Ovis aries: one gene and its partner. The protein of the gene in region 1 purifies or fractionates together with the protein of each later gene. This does not show direct contact. Links are inferred from orthologs where the notes say so. Each region holds a gene or a part of one and is shown on either strand. Other genes may lie near its edges.

Region 1 (5,980 bases):
ATGGAACCAATATTTTAAACAAAAATGATATGTATCTTCTAGATCTTGCATTTTCTGAAACTTGTAGTATTTAGGCCAAAGGGTAAAACACTCAAAGACCAATGGTTTCAGGACCATTTCTTTTTTTTTCATTCCCTTCACCACCTTATGAGGTGCTGCCTGAATGTCACCCTCTCCCCAAGCCTCATAAACTTGTACCTACTCCCTAGAGACCACTGCAGCTGGTAAGCTGAAGGACTTCACTCTCCCAACAGAATCTGAATTTTCAGGGGCCACAAAAACTGAAGTGGCCCTCCCAGGTGGTGCAATGATAACGAATCCTCATGTCAGTGCAGGAGACCCAGGAGACAGGGCTTTGATCCCTGGGTTGGGAAGATGCCCTAAATTAGGAAATGGCAACCCACTCCAGTATTCTTGCCTGGGAAATCCCATGGAAGGAGGAGCCTGGCGGGCTACAGTCCATAGGGTTGCAAAGAGTTGGACATCTCAAGCAACTGAGCACACACACACAAAACTGAAGAGTCAAGACTAATGGACAGGACATTCTAGGGAGTGGTCAATATATACTGAGACCTAGGTCAAAATCTGCGACTTCCTATGTAAACTTGGGAGAGTCACTTCACCTGCCTTAGTCTCCCTGTTTATGAAGTGGGGAAAATAAGAGGATTATGACCAGAATTTAAAAAGATAATGTCTATAAAGCAGTTACCAAAGTGCCTGATACAAAGTGAATGTCCTGTAAATATCAGTTCTTATCACAACTCCAAAAAGGCTCATCGAAGAAGGCATTGCAAATGACAGGTAGCCCTTGACCACAGAAACATGTTTACAATCCAGTGTTGAGTGGATAGGAGAAATAGGTAAGAGTCCACTCTTGTTAGGAAAAATGTAAACACTCCCACAATCATACTTAGGTAACCCTGTCTCTCTGTTTCTGGCCTGCCTGCGTGCACTTGTTTCTCTGCGTTTGCCTGGGGCCCCTACCTTGGAAATCTTCTGGGCAACTGTATCTCTATAAGCCTCAGTTTTATGATCTGTACAATACAGCTACAAAGGTTGACATGAAGATAGTATGAGAAAAAACGCTTGATACATATCAGTTATTTCTTTTTTTTCTGTGCCCCGTGCAGTGGAAGCCCAGAGTCTGAACCACTGGACAACCAGCGAAGTCTTATTTCTAAATTTAACAGTTATGAAATTCTAAAATTTCGCTAGGAAAATAGGAAGATATAATATGAACTTGTTCACAGTGGTTATCATTAGTTTTATTTCCTTTTCTTCGTTATACTTTACCGTATTTATTTGTTCATTTCCCAGGTATTTATTAAGCACTTGCTAGGTACCAGGCCGGGAAGGATCCCCTGGTGGAGGGCATGACAACCCACTCCTGTATTCTTGCCTGGAGAATCCCATGGACAGAGGAGCATGGCGGGCTACAGTCCATAGGGTCACACAGAGTCACAGACACAACTGAAGCAACTTAGCACGCACGCCGATGCCAAGCCGTGCGCTAAGAGGACTACAGCAACGTACTATACAAATAATTACACAAATAATTGCCATAAGTTTTTGCAAAGCAGAGATCAGAAAAAAAGCGATTTGAGACGTACAATGAGACCGGATCATTACTGATTTTGGAAAGGATTCGAATACAGGAACTAGACAGGCAGCGGATGGAGAATGGGAGGGTGCGGTACGAGAGCAAGGGGTTAGCTGTCCCCTCTGAAATTACCCGCTGGGCGGGCGCCCCCTTTGCCAGTAGGTGGCCAGGCCTGCCGCAGGCGTTAGATCCGGAAGCTCTGTATTCAGCTGGCTAGTCAGCCGCAGACGCAGCGCCGGGAGGTCCACGCGGCGGCAGAAGGAGCCCGGGCGGCCACTGGGGGCGGCCACGTGAGCGCCGCGGCCCCGCCCCGGCGCGCCGCCTCCGGCCCCAGCCCCAGCTCTGCCAGTGTGGGGATCCGCCTCCCGCAAGTCGCGCTGCCGCTGCAGCTGCCCCAGCCCCGCTGACGGTGGCCCTCGGAACGCTCCCCTAGCGCCCCGGGATCATTCCAGCGGCTCCGCGCACCCCTCGCGCCCCGGGACCGTTCCTGCGGCCGCCGCCGCCTCCCCCGAGCGCCGGCCCGCGCGCCCGGCTCGCCGCTCCCCGGCATTTTCGGGGGGCCCGCCCGCCCTGCACCCTGGAGCACCGGGCCACGAGCCTCTGCCAGTTCCTCTGGATCCTCGCGGCCGTGAGCAGCGGCTGCCGCGCCGGGCCGCCCGAGGCAGGTAAGTGGGGCCGCGGTTGGCCAAGGGGGCCGGGATCCGGCGCTGCAGGCCGGCGCGCCCCGGTGCTGCCGGCGTCCGGAGCGCTCAGGGTCCGGTGCTTAAAGCGGGGCTCGAGGCGGAAGGAGAATGTGAGGGTTCAGCTCTTCGGCTTTCACTGCTTGCTTCTGTAAAATGGGAGCGTCGTGCCGATTAACGGCAGAGCCTATTAGGAAAATACTTGGCACTCCTTGGTGTGGGAGAGGCAGCTTGGGGGCCTCCGCCTGGGGCGCCTCGGGGCCCGCAGAGGTGGGGGAGGGATGCCGAAGCCGCATCCCCCACCTGGGCCCCCGAACAAGAGGCCCCAGTTCCAGGAACCTCAAGGACAGTGTCGACGCACCCTTGCTGCACTGTTGACTGCGGGAGTTTCGGGTGTTGGCAGGCCCCGTGGGCAAGTGCGCCAAGGGGCCGGGCATCAGTATGCGGAGTGGCGGGGCGGGGGCCTCCCCGGGTGAGTCCCGGCCTAGATCCGCTGCGCGGGCCTCGGGGGTTGCGGGGAACCCGCCCAGCTGCGCCCCGGTGAGACACATGGGCTGCTGGGAGGAGGGTGGCTAGTCTGCAGGAGGGAAGTTCTGTGGGAGCCTGACTTCTGGGTGCTCGGCCCTGGAAGCTGCTGCCTGGGGGCCGCTCAGACAGGAAATTGTCTACCCCTCTGATTTTACAGAGAAGGAAACTGAGGCCCAGAGTAATCTAACAGCAGGTACTAATGAGCAAGGTGGGCTAAGTGAAGGAATAGAGAGCAAGCAGGTGGGAGCTGATAATGCCGTGTGTGTGGCGTGGGCGGGGGGGAGGTCTTGTGGGGGGTCATTGGGGAAGGCTTCCTGGAGGTGGTGATGGAAAGGATGCCTGTGGGAGGAAGTGGGATTTAGAGTTTCCTAGGTGTCCTTCTCCCTGGCCTCCACAGCACCTTTCATTTTTTACTCCAGGCATTTATTCAACAAATACAATAAAGCTGCTGGGATTTCAGGTGTAACAGGATGGTTGGGATTGCCATCCCCCCTCCTCTCCTATTCTTCAAGAAGGGATGTGGGCTGCTGTCCCAAATTATCTTTTGTAGGGGGTGGGGAGAGAGGAAGTCAGGGTCTGAGGATCCCTTGAAATGATCTGTTTACATATGGTCACTTGTGTACATTCTGTGATTTGCAGCAGGGTGTGTGTGTGTGTGTGCTTTGGGTGACAGGACAGTACTTTCTGGCTGATTAAGGATGTATCACTGATACGATCTTTAAACATTTTTAATGTATTATGTGGCAGAGATGGCTGTTGGTCACCATGTCCTCCTCTTCCTGGGATATCATCCTGGTTGCGTTTTGTGGGCTCCCTTATAATTTGTTGGGCCACATGACTAAGTTTTGGCTTGTTGGAATATGAGCAGAAATAGTGTGTGTCTCCCCCAAGGCTGGACCCTGAAAACCTCCCCCATTCTCCTATTTACCAGCAGAGTTGAGAGGACTGTGAGGGCCTGGCAGAGGGCAGAGCCACAGCCTGGAAGGTGGCTGGGTCCCTGATTGACGGGAGCTCTCCTTTCCACCTCTCTGGTGGTCTGTGACTATCTGCTGAAGAAACTGGGGCTCCAGGAAGCCCTATGAAACATCTGTGGGTATGAGAGGGGCTTCTTGGTTGTGGCTTTCCCCTCGGGGTGATCTGGTGTTCTGCAGGGGAGGGTGTCTTTAGGCCCTTTTTCTCACACTGATCAGATTCCCCAAAGAAGTCTGGTCCAGTCTTTGGCAGGGTTGACATCCAGGTGCCAGGACACAGAGAGCAGTGTGGAAGAAAGCTGAGGGTCACCAGCAGAAACTTGGATTTGTTCAGGCTCATTCTCTTAAGATTTACTCTTTCTGGTTTGATTCTTAAAGTTGATACAGGAAGTGTTGATGACCAGGACCTCATTCAATGTAATAGTGGCTTGCTGGACTGACTTAAAAATAAACATTTTTGTGCTGGGGAGATCAGTTCTGCTGATCAAGAAGCTGCAGATGTAACCCCAGCGAACTGAGAATGTTCTAGAAGAAAGTGACTATAGTGCTCACCACAGTATAAAAGTGGCTTGGCCCTTCAAGTGTTGCTGAATTATACTCCTGCCACCAAGGCTGATGGGCACAAGAAGCAGGCTTCCAACAAAGGAAGAAGTGAGTCACTAACAGGCTTGATAATAAAGTAGAAGACAGTAACTTGTCCAAAGACCCAGGGCCGTGGAACACCCAGAGAAGCATTTCAGATGGCTAGAAAATCAGAGGGCAGACAGTGTTTAGTTCTCCAGCTGGGACACTTTCTAGACCTCGCAAGGATTCCACAGGGAGTGGCCAAAAGGCAGGAGGCTCAACTGAGAACATGTCTCTGGGCCAGTGGTTCTTTTTTTTTTTTTTTTAAGTTTTTATTTTTTAAATTTTAACGGGCCAGTGGTTCTTGAATTTCGGTGCATATCTACACCACCTGGAGGAATTGTTTAAACACGGCTTGCCGGGCCCATCCCCAGAGTTTACTTGAGCAGGACTGGCACGGGGCCCCCAGAATTTGCACATGTGACGAGTAGAAGTGGGACCTGCTAGTGGTCCCAGGAATCACAGTTTGAAAGTGGTTTAGGAAGTCAGGGCTGAGCGAACCCTGGATGGATCTGCACTGGCTGCAAACCCACCTCCCCTGCCTTCTGGCCGCGTGATTAGGGGCAAGTCGCTTCACCTCTCTGTTCCTCAGTTTCTTCATCTGTAGGATGAGGCTAATGGTGCCAAACTCCTGGGGCTCCAGCGATGCTTCCTGGAGGAGGTGACATCTATCTAACCTGAGACCTGAGGGATGAGCAGAACTGGCTAGGGGATGGGTAGGGAGAGCAGGTTAGGGCGTGTGCCAAACAGATGGCACCATGTGGGTGAGCCCAGGGAGCAGGGAACCCTTGTTCTCCAGGGGGCTGAGCAGGAGCTTTGTGAGTGGTGCTGGAAAGCTGTGACTCTGTTCTGGGCTACGTGTCTCAGGACAGCATTGCAGTGCAGGGGAGGCTGACCAGGGTGCCGAAAACGGGCCTCAGGGATGGGATGGGCCTGATAGCAGCGCCAGTTACTTCTGTCCGCGCTCCACCACCTCACATGTAGCCCCCTGGCCTCACCTAGATGCAAAAGGATTTGGTCAGGGGTACGCAAAACACAGTGGACAGCTGGCTTCTGCGCCACAGACCAGCTCTCTCACCTCTTCTCCACCTTGCTCACACTGCCCCACTTGGTAGATGAGTGAATTATGCACATGAGGAAGCCAAGTTTCAGAGAGGTTAGCTAATTTGCCCAATGGCACTCAGCTAGTAGTGGCAGAGCCCGGACTTGAACCCAGATCTGTTCATCTCCAAAGCTTGTTGGGCCCAATCCTTGTCTTGGCTGCTTTTTGAGGGCCTCCGCATGATCCAGGCTTTCCCACTCAGGTTTTCCCATATACTCAGCTGTGTCTCCTGGCTAAGTAACCCCTAGATGCCTTGTAATTGTAACCTGATAGTCCCTCTATTCCTCCATGCCTACAATGCCCATTATATCTGCAGAAATGGCCCACTTTTCTCCAGTTAATCATTCGTTCATGCACCCTGCATTTCTAGGGAACCTCGTGTGTGCCAGACATTGTGCTCTGGGCTAGGAGCTAGAAGGACCAAGACACGGCCCCTTTTGTTCCAGACACTCACATGGTCTGGGCACCGAGAGGC
Region 2 (6,155 bases), on another chromosome or scaffold:
TGCAGTCAAGCAGATGGGGTTAGAATCCTGATGATGTAATTTGCTGGGTGACTTGATCAAGTTACTTATCTCCTCAATCTCACTTACTTCATCTGTAAATTAGGGATAATAATACCTGCTTTACAAAGTTACTCTATATTATAAATTATGAATATGAGATACCTAGTCACAAAGAGCTAATAAAGTGACAGCTGTTATCATCATCACCACCATCACTATTATTATCCTATCCAGTGGTCCTACTTTACCCTATAGAGCTATATACATATGCCTTTCAGTATTTTAAAATACTTAAATTTATTTGCCATGTTATTCTTAAGTGCTCTTTCTTCAGAGTAGTCATTTATCAATATTTTCTCTTTCGGTTATCTTGTCCTTGGCTGTGCTCCTGCATAAGATGTTTACAGAACATGGTGCCCATAACTGAACAAAGTGCTCCAGGTGTGGTCTTAGTGATTCAAAACAGAGTAAAACCATAAAACTGTATTCCCGAGACACTACTCTCTTCAAGCTGCCTAACTTTTAAACTTTAGCTTTTTTGGCAACCATATCACATACTGCCTATGAAAAGTTGCAGGTAGTTTTCATATGAATGAATTTTGAGTCTTCATTTTGCAATAGTAGTAGTAGCAGAACTTAAATTTTTTTAAAAAAATTTATTCATTTATTTGCCTGCACTGGGTCTTAGTTGTGGCACCTGGAATCTTTGATTTTGGTTACAGCATGTGAACTCTCAGTTGGGGCATTTAGGATCTAGTTCCCTGACCAGGGATGGAAACTGGGCTCAGTGCACTGGGAGTAGGGAGTCTTAGCCACTGGACCACCAGGGAAGTCCCTTAAAAAAAAAAATTCAAGAGTATAACTTTTAATTAACTTTATTATATATAGGTAATGTGCTGAGTTCTGAGAACATAGAGATGAGTAGGACAAAGTATCGATATACTAGAAATGTAAGTTCCATGAGAGCAGGACTATTGTGTTCACTATTGAATCCCCATCTCTTGGGCACAATTATCCGCACATGGTTATATGTGCTGTTTGTTGAATGAACAAATGAATAAAATATACAGTGGAAGATTTCCCTATAAACGAAAAGCTATTTCCCTATTTTATAAACTCAGGTATTTTGTACAAGCCTGTCACTTTTAGCACAACCCTAGTGTTTTCGCATTTTATGGTAAGCTGATTTCCAAAATAAATTCGTACAGTCCCCTTTAAGGCCAAACTAAATACTACATGCTTTATTTGCTCGATGGCCATTATATCCCACCATTAAAGACCTTTTGGAAGTACCCATTTAACCCTGAATGCAGGGCTTACATCTCAGGGTTAGCAGTAGCCGGCCATGGTTTCTGAGTGCTAAACACCCGAGAATATTCTGAGTCGAGTTCTATTAGACCCTGACTTATAGTGGGTTAGAATAAGGTGGAAGTATGGCGCGATGACTTAGAAAGACCTTGAAACTCTGCATTTCAGCATGAAGCTACTGCTAGGTGCCCATAGGCCAGGCGTCCCAGTCAAAATCCGTCCTTCAGACGCCAGACATAGGAATTTGGGGGGCGTCAGTTCTCTATAACAACAGTTAGGGAGGCCCTAGCGTCTCTGTCCTCTCAGAGCTTTTTCTAGTATTTGGGCTACAGGTGAGGCGCCGGTCGCCATCTTGATATCAATTGCCAGGCAAGTCGCCACTGGCGTCGCTCGGTAACCACGGAGACACCGATGCCCCTCCCGTTTCTCAGCTCTAGAGGCCGCAAACTACGATTCCCATACGCTGATCTTCTCTACTTGACGGTCAGTTGTCTAGATTTGGCGTGGGAGACACCGCGACCCTACCGCAGTGAACCGCGGGAGTTGCAGTTCGTAGTGTGGCGTCACTTTTTTGCTTCAGGAACCTCCAGAACCACAAATCCCGTGAGCCAGCGGGCAACACGCATGCGCAAAGGACACCTTGTCCTCCCTGGCCCCCCTGCCAGTGCCTGAGAGGTAAGAGGGCGGAGGAAAGGAAGAGGAGGCGGGATCCGGGCGCTGCGTTGGCTGCGGCCTGGCATCAAGGGGGCGGCCCCGGCGGAGTGCAGACCCAGTGGCCCCTGGCGATTATGGACCCGGCCGAGGCGGTGCTGCAGGAAAAAGCGCTCAAGTTTATGGTGAGGAGAAGGTGCAGGCCGGGGAACTGTGCAGGCGGTGCGTTGGCGGCGTCTCTGAGGCTCGGGCCTGGGCTGCCTGCCCGTTGGAGGAGGGCACAGCGAGACCCTGGGCCGAGGCCGGCGGCGGGGGCGGCTGGAGGGACGGGACGGGAGCTTCTGGGAGGTAGGAGGGGTTGCGGAGAGGACCCGGGGGTGGGGGCAGCAGCTCCGCCATCTTGTGGATGAGAGGCCAAGTGACAGCGAGAGCTTAATCGGGGAGGGGTCTCTGGGGCGCGCGGGGCCCTGGAGAGTAAGGGGCTTAGGGACAGTTACTGAAGAGCTGAGGAGGCCAGGAGGAGAGACGCCGTGAGGCCGCTGGCAGGGCCTTGCCGGTGTGAGGGTTACGGGTGAGGCCCTGGAGAAGAGGTGCATTCAGTAGTAGGGAAGGGGAACGCTGGACAGTGGGAGGAAAGATACTGGGAGTGGGAGGAGGGTGGGAAAAACGGGCAAGGCTGGATGTGGATGGATCTAAGGTAGAGCAGAAAGAGGACTGCTGGGAGACTTACAGTCTTGTAGAGTGAGGTGGGAGAGATAGCCTTCAGGGTACAATCCCAGCTTGGGCAAACAAACTAATGTTGGCAAACTCTGGAAAGAACTAGGCCTTACTTAGGAAGGTAAGGACTGGGGACGGGGACCTCGCACTGTGATGACAGTCTTTGGGAAAGGGAAGAGGTTGAATAGATGCCAGAGTTACAGGTATCAGGAAAAGGGTATACATTCTCTAGTTTGAAAGAAGACAGAAGAGGTTCACTGGTTAGGGAAACCTAGGTACAGGAGATTAGGGGCAAAATTAATATCTAATAGTGTAAAACAAAACTTGATGCGATATCGTAGAGACAGTAAAATGTGGAGATCAGGTGCAGTATCACTTTCTGGGAATGGAAAGGCTATGCAGATTAGCATCCAAAGACCCATAAGAAGTAATAAGATCACTGGAGAAATTCAGGAGATAAAAGGGGGAATGCAGATGGTGGAGAATAATAGGAAATGTCAGGGTTAGTAGTTACTTAGGACTTTTAGGTTGAAGCACAGTATGAACTTGAATTTTGTGGGTGTGTTTCAATCCTTTGGAGTCTAATTCTTTAACTTTGTATCATGCTTTTCTTTTTTTGATATGTGTATGTTTAGCAAATGTGTATAGCTATTTGATGCATTTAATCTGATGCTTCATTTGTATATCCCAGATGTAAAACCAGACTTGGTGGTTACAGCTAAAGAATGATGGGATGCATAGACTTCTTTCTGTCTTAACTGGTGTCCATAGGGACCATTGATATTATTTTACAGTCTGTTTGCTTTTTCAGAAGTAATTGTAACCTGTCACTCCAAATCTTTATTTCTTTTGTTAGATAGTTGTTGTTTTGTCTTCTTGGCCTTAGATACCAAAACAAATCTAAACAAACCATGGACACTAACCTAATTGAATTTAGGCTTTAAACTGCTGCATTTACAAGAATATAATTTAAGAGTCTGGTCATATTTACTGTAACTTTATTTATTTTGTATTAGTGCTTTCTAAAATGCCTAACTAAAGTTCAAGTGTATCTTTAACAAAATACTATTAGACCTGAAGAAAGTTCTTGAGTTTCTGCCCACTGTTGAAATTCTAAAATATTAAGAGGCTTCAGAATTGTTTCGGACTTCAGAAGTGAGACGAAGTTGCTTTGTGTGTACAGCCAGCTTCTAGATTTAAGTAAGAAAAGTGACAGCTGCTTATTTTTGTTTTGTCCTAATCTTGACACGTGTCAGATTTATGGAATAATGTGGTTTTAACAGATCATAAAGGGACCTTATGAGATCATCTTCTTTAGTCCCTGATAGACCTCAGCCTAGGAACATTTTCAACCAATTGATCTCTGCTTTGTACCAGTGAGTTGTTTTGATAATGGTCTCCTGATTGAGTTAAAGTTGGAGCTAGAGATGGCCATGAGTAGTTTGAAGCTTTTGGGACACCACACATTATTAAATGTTGAGTCAGTTTCCATAAGGAGAAACCAATTTTTCTTCAATTTTAGTTACTTTCATTTTTGACCTTGCCTGCTGTTATGGCTGCTGTTTGCGAGAAGGCCAGCTGGAAAAGGGTCACCAAGAATGACACCTTAATAACTGCAACAGAATGGAGAGTTAAAGATTTGGCATTCTTTTTCAGCTCAGTGCTGTGCTTAGTTGCTCAGTTGTATCTGATTCTTTGAGACCCCTTGGATTATAGCCCGCCAGGCTCCTCTGTCCATGGGGATTCTCCAGGCAAGAATTCTGAAGTGGGTTGCCATTTCCTTCTCCAGGGGATCTTCTCAACCCAGGGATTGAACCCAGGTCTCCCGCATTGCAGGTGGATCCTTTACCGTCTGAGCCACCAGGGAAGCCCTTTTCACCTCAGTAACAGTCTTATTATGAATTTAAGTCACAACCTGCCTTTGGTCCCATTTACTCTGTTATGTTTGTTTACTTAGTCATTTGAGATAGGAAGATACTTTATTTGTGCTTGCACCTGGTAATTAATGCACAGTACACATGGAAAAGACTATCCTTTTAATCAAATTGAAATTTTTATATAGTATTTGGCTTTATTTTGTCCTTATCCTTTCCCTCAATTCTGAGGTGTGAATGACAATTTTTGTATAGGATGCCCTGATTTCTACAGTTTAAGAAAATATAAAATTTTGTTTAAAATAGCATGAAATGGATATTCTCTTTTATGAATTTTGCTCATTACTGTATTGATGTAGTAATTTGATTAATTTTTATAATAAAACCTTATCAGTGAGACCGATTCAGATTTGACCATAATTCATACATGGTCTATACTTAAACTTCATCTTTGAATATCTGTACTATATCTATATCTGTCTCTCCTTCTGTATTTTATCTATTTATATGACAAGTTGAGGGATGGATTTGAAATTTATTTTTAAATGGACAGGATAAACTGGTCTCGGGATCTTAGAACTAGGAAAATTTGACACATGGATGAAATAATTTCAAGATGTATAAAATAGTTTTTTTATTGATAGATAAGTGAAACAGTGTAAAGGTTAACTTGCTGTGTAACAAACATAAATCTTTTGTTGATTGGTGCATTTTCTGTTTTGCCTAGTGTTGGCTGGAATGTTCAAAATGGCCACAATCTCTCATGGCTGGCCCAAAATGGCCAGTTTCTCACGGCCAGCCACTGTCTGTGAGTTCAGCTAGCAATAAGGCCTTCTTGTCCTCCTTTCTCCATATGGCCTTCTTTTGGATTTCCTTAAAGCATGGTGTCTGGGTTCTAAGAAGGGGAGCATTCCAGGAGATAAGAAAGAAGCCAGCCAATTTTCTTAAGTCCTAGGTTTGGAAGTTGAGAATGTTGCTATTGGTCAGAGACAGTAAAGGCCGGCCCAGAGTCAGAGGGAGGGAAAATAATCTCTCCCTGTAGACAAAAAGAGTAGCATGCATGAACAGAGAGAGGGAAATTTCTGGGGGCCAGGACCTTTTGAGACTGGCTACCATAGATGCTGTTCTAGTTGGATGCTCAGGCAGAAAATACAGATGGGATCAGCCACATTTGTGGCTATTAACACTTGGAATGCTTTGGAGACCTCTCATTTTTGAGATAAACTTCTTAAAAAACTATCGTGATCTCCTGTATAACTTGTCTTAATAATGTTACTGTAGAGATAATACTGGATGAGTTGATATGATTCAGGAACTTTTATTTGCTTGAGAACCATATATATCTAAAAACAAGAAATTGCATTTTAAAATAAGTATTCAGATTTTTCACTGTGATGGACTTTTCTTTAAATCAGTGAGATTGATTACCAGCTGGTTGGATAACATTTGAAGCTAGTTCTTAGTTTGTCAGAGTTTCTGTATATTAATATCTCTTGCATGCATGCTCAGCAACTCTTTGCGACCCCATGGACTTCAGCCCACCAGTCTTTTCTGTCCATGAAATTTTCCAGGAAAGAAGACTGGAATGGGTTGCCATTTCCTACT

The links.
Region 2: the proteins of EEF2K (region 1) and BTRC purify together in Homo sapiens (affinity purification with western blotting; 4 studies listed by BioGRID and IntAct, with this or other methods). This does not show direct contact. The link is inferred for Ovis aries from reciprocal best matches to the Homo sapiens genes EEF2K and BTRC.

What each region holds. Positions count from the first base shown.
Region 1 is NC_056077.1:20,436,386-20,442,365, forward strand, and holds the start of EEF2K (eukaryotic elongation factor 2 kinase), read left to right. Parts: upstream 1-1,947; 5' UTR 1,948-2,265; intron 2,266-2,754; exon of another isoform or gene 2,755-2,820; intron 2,821-5,980. UniProt on the Homo sapiens protein: Threonine kinase that regulates protein synthesis by controlling the rate of peptide chain elongation.
Region 2 is NC_056075.1:21,898,055-21,904,209, forward strand, and holds the start of BTRC (F-box/WD repeat-containing protein 1A), read left to right. Parts: upstream 1-2,027; 5' UTR 2,028-2,096; coding exon 2,097-2,144; exon of another isoform or gene 2,145-2,181; intron 2,182-6,155. UniProt on the Homo sapiens protein: Substrate recognition component of a SCF (SKP1-CUL1-F-box protein) E3 ubiquitin-protein ligase complex which mediates the ubiquitination and subsequent proteasomal degradation of target proteins. Recognizes and binds to phosphorylated target proteins.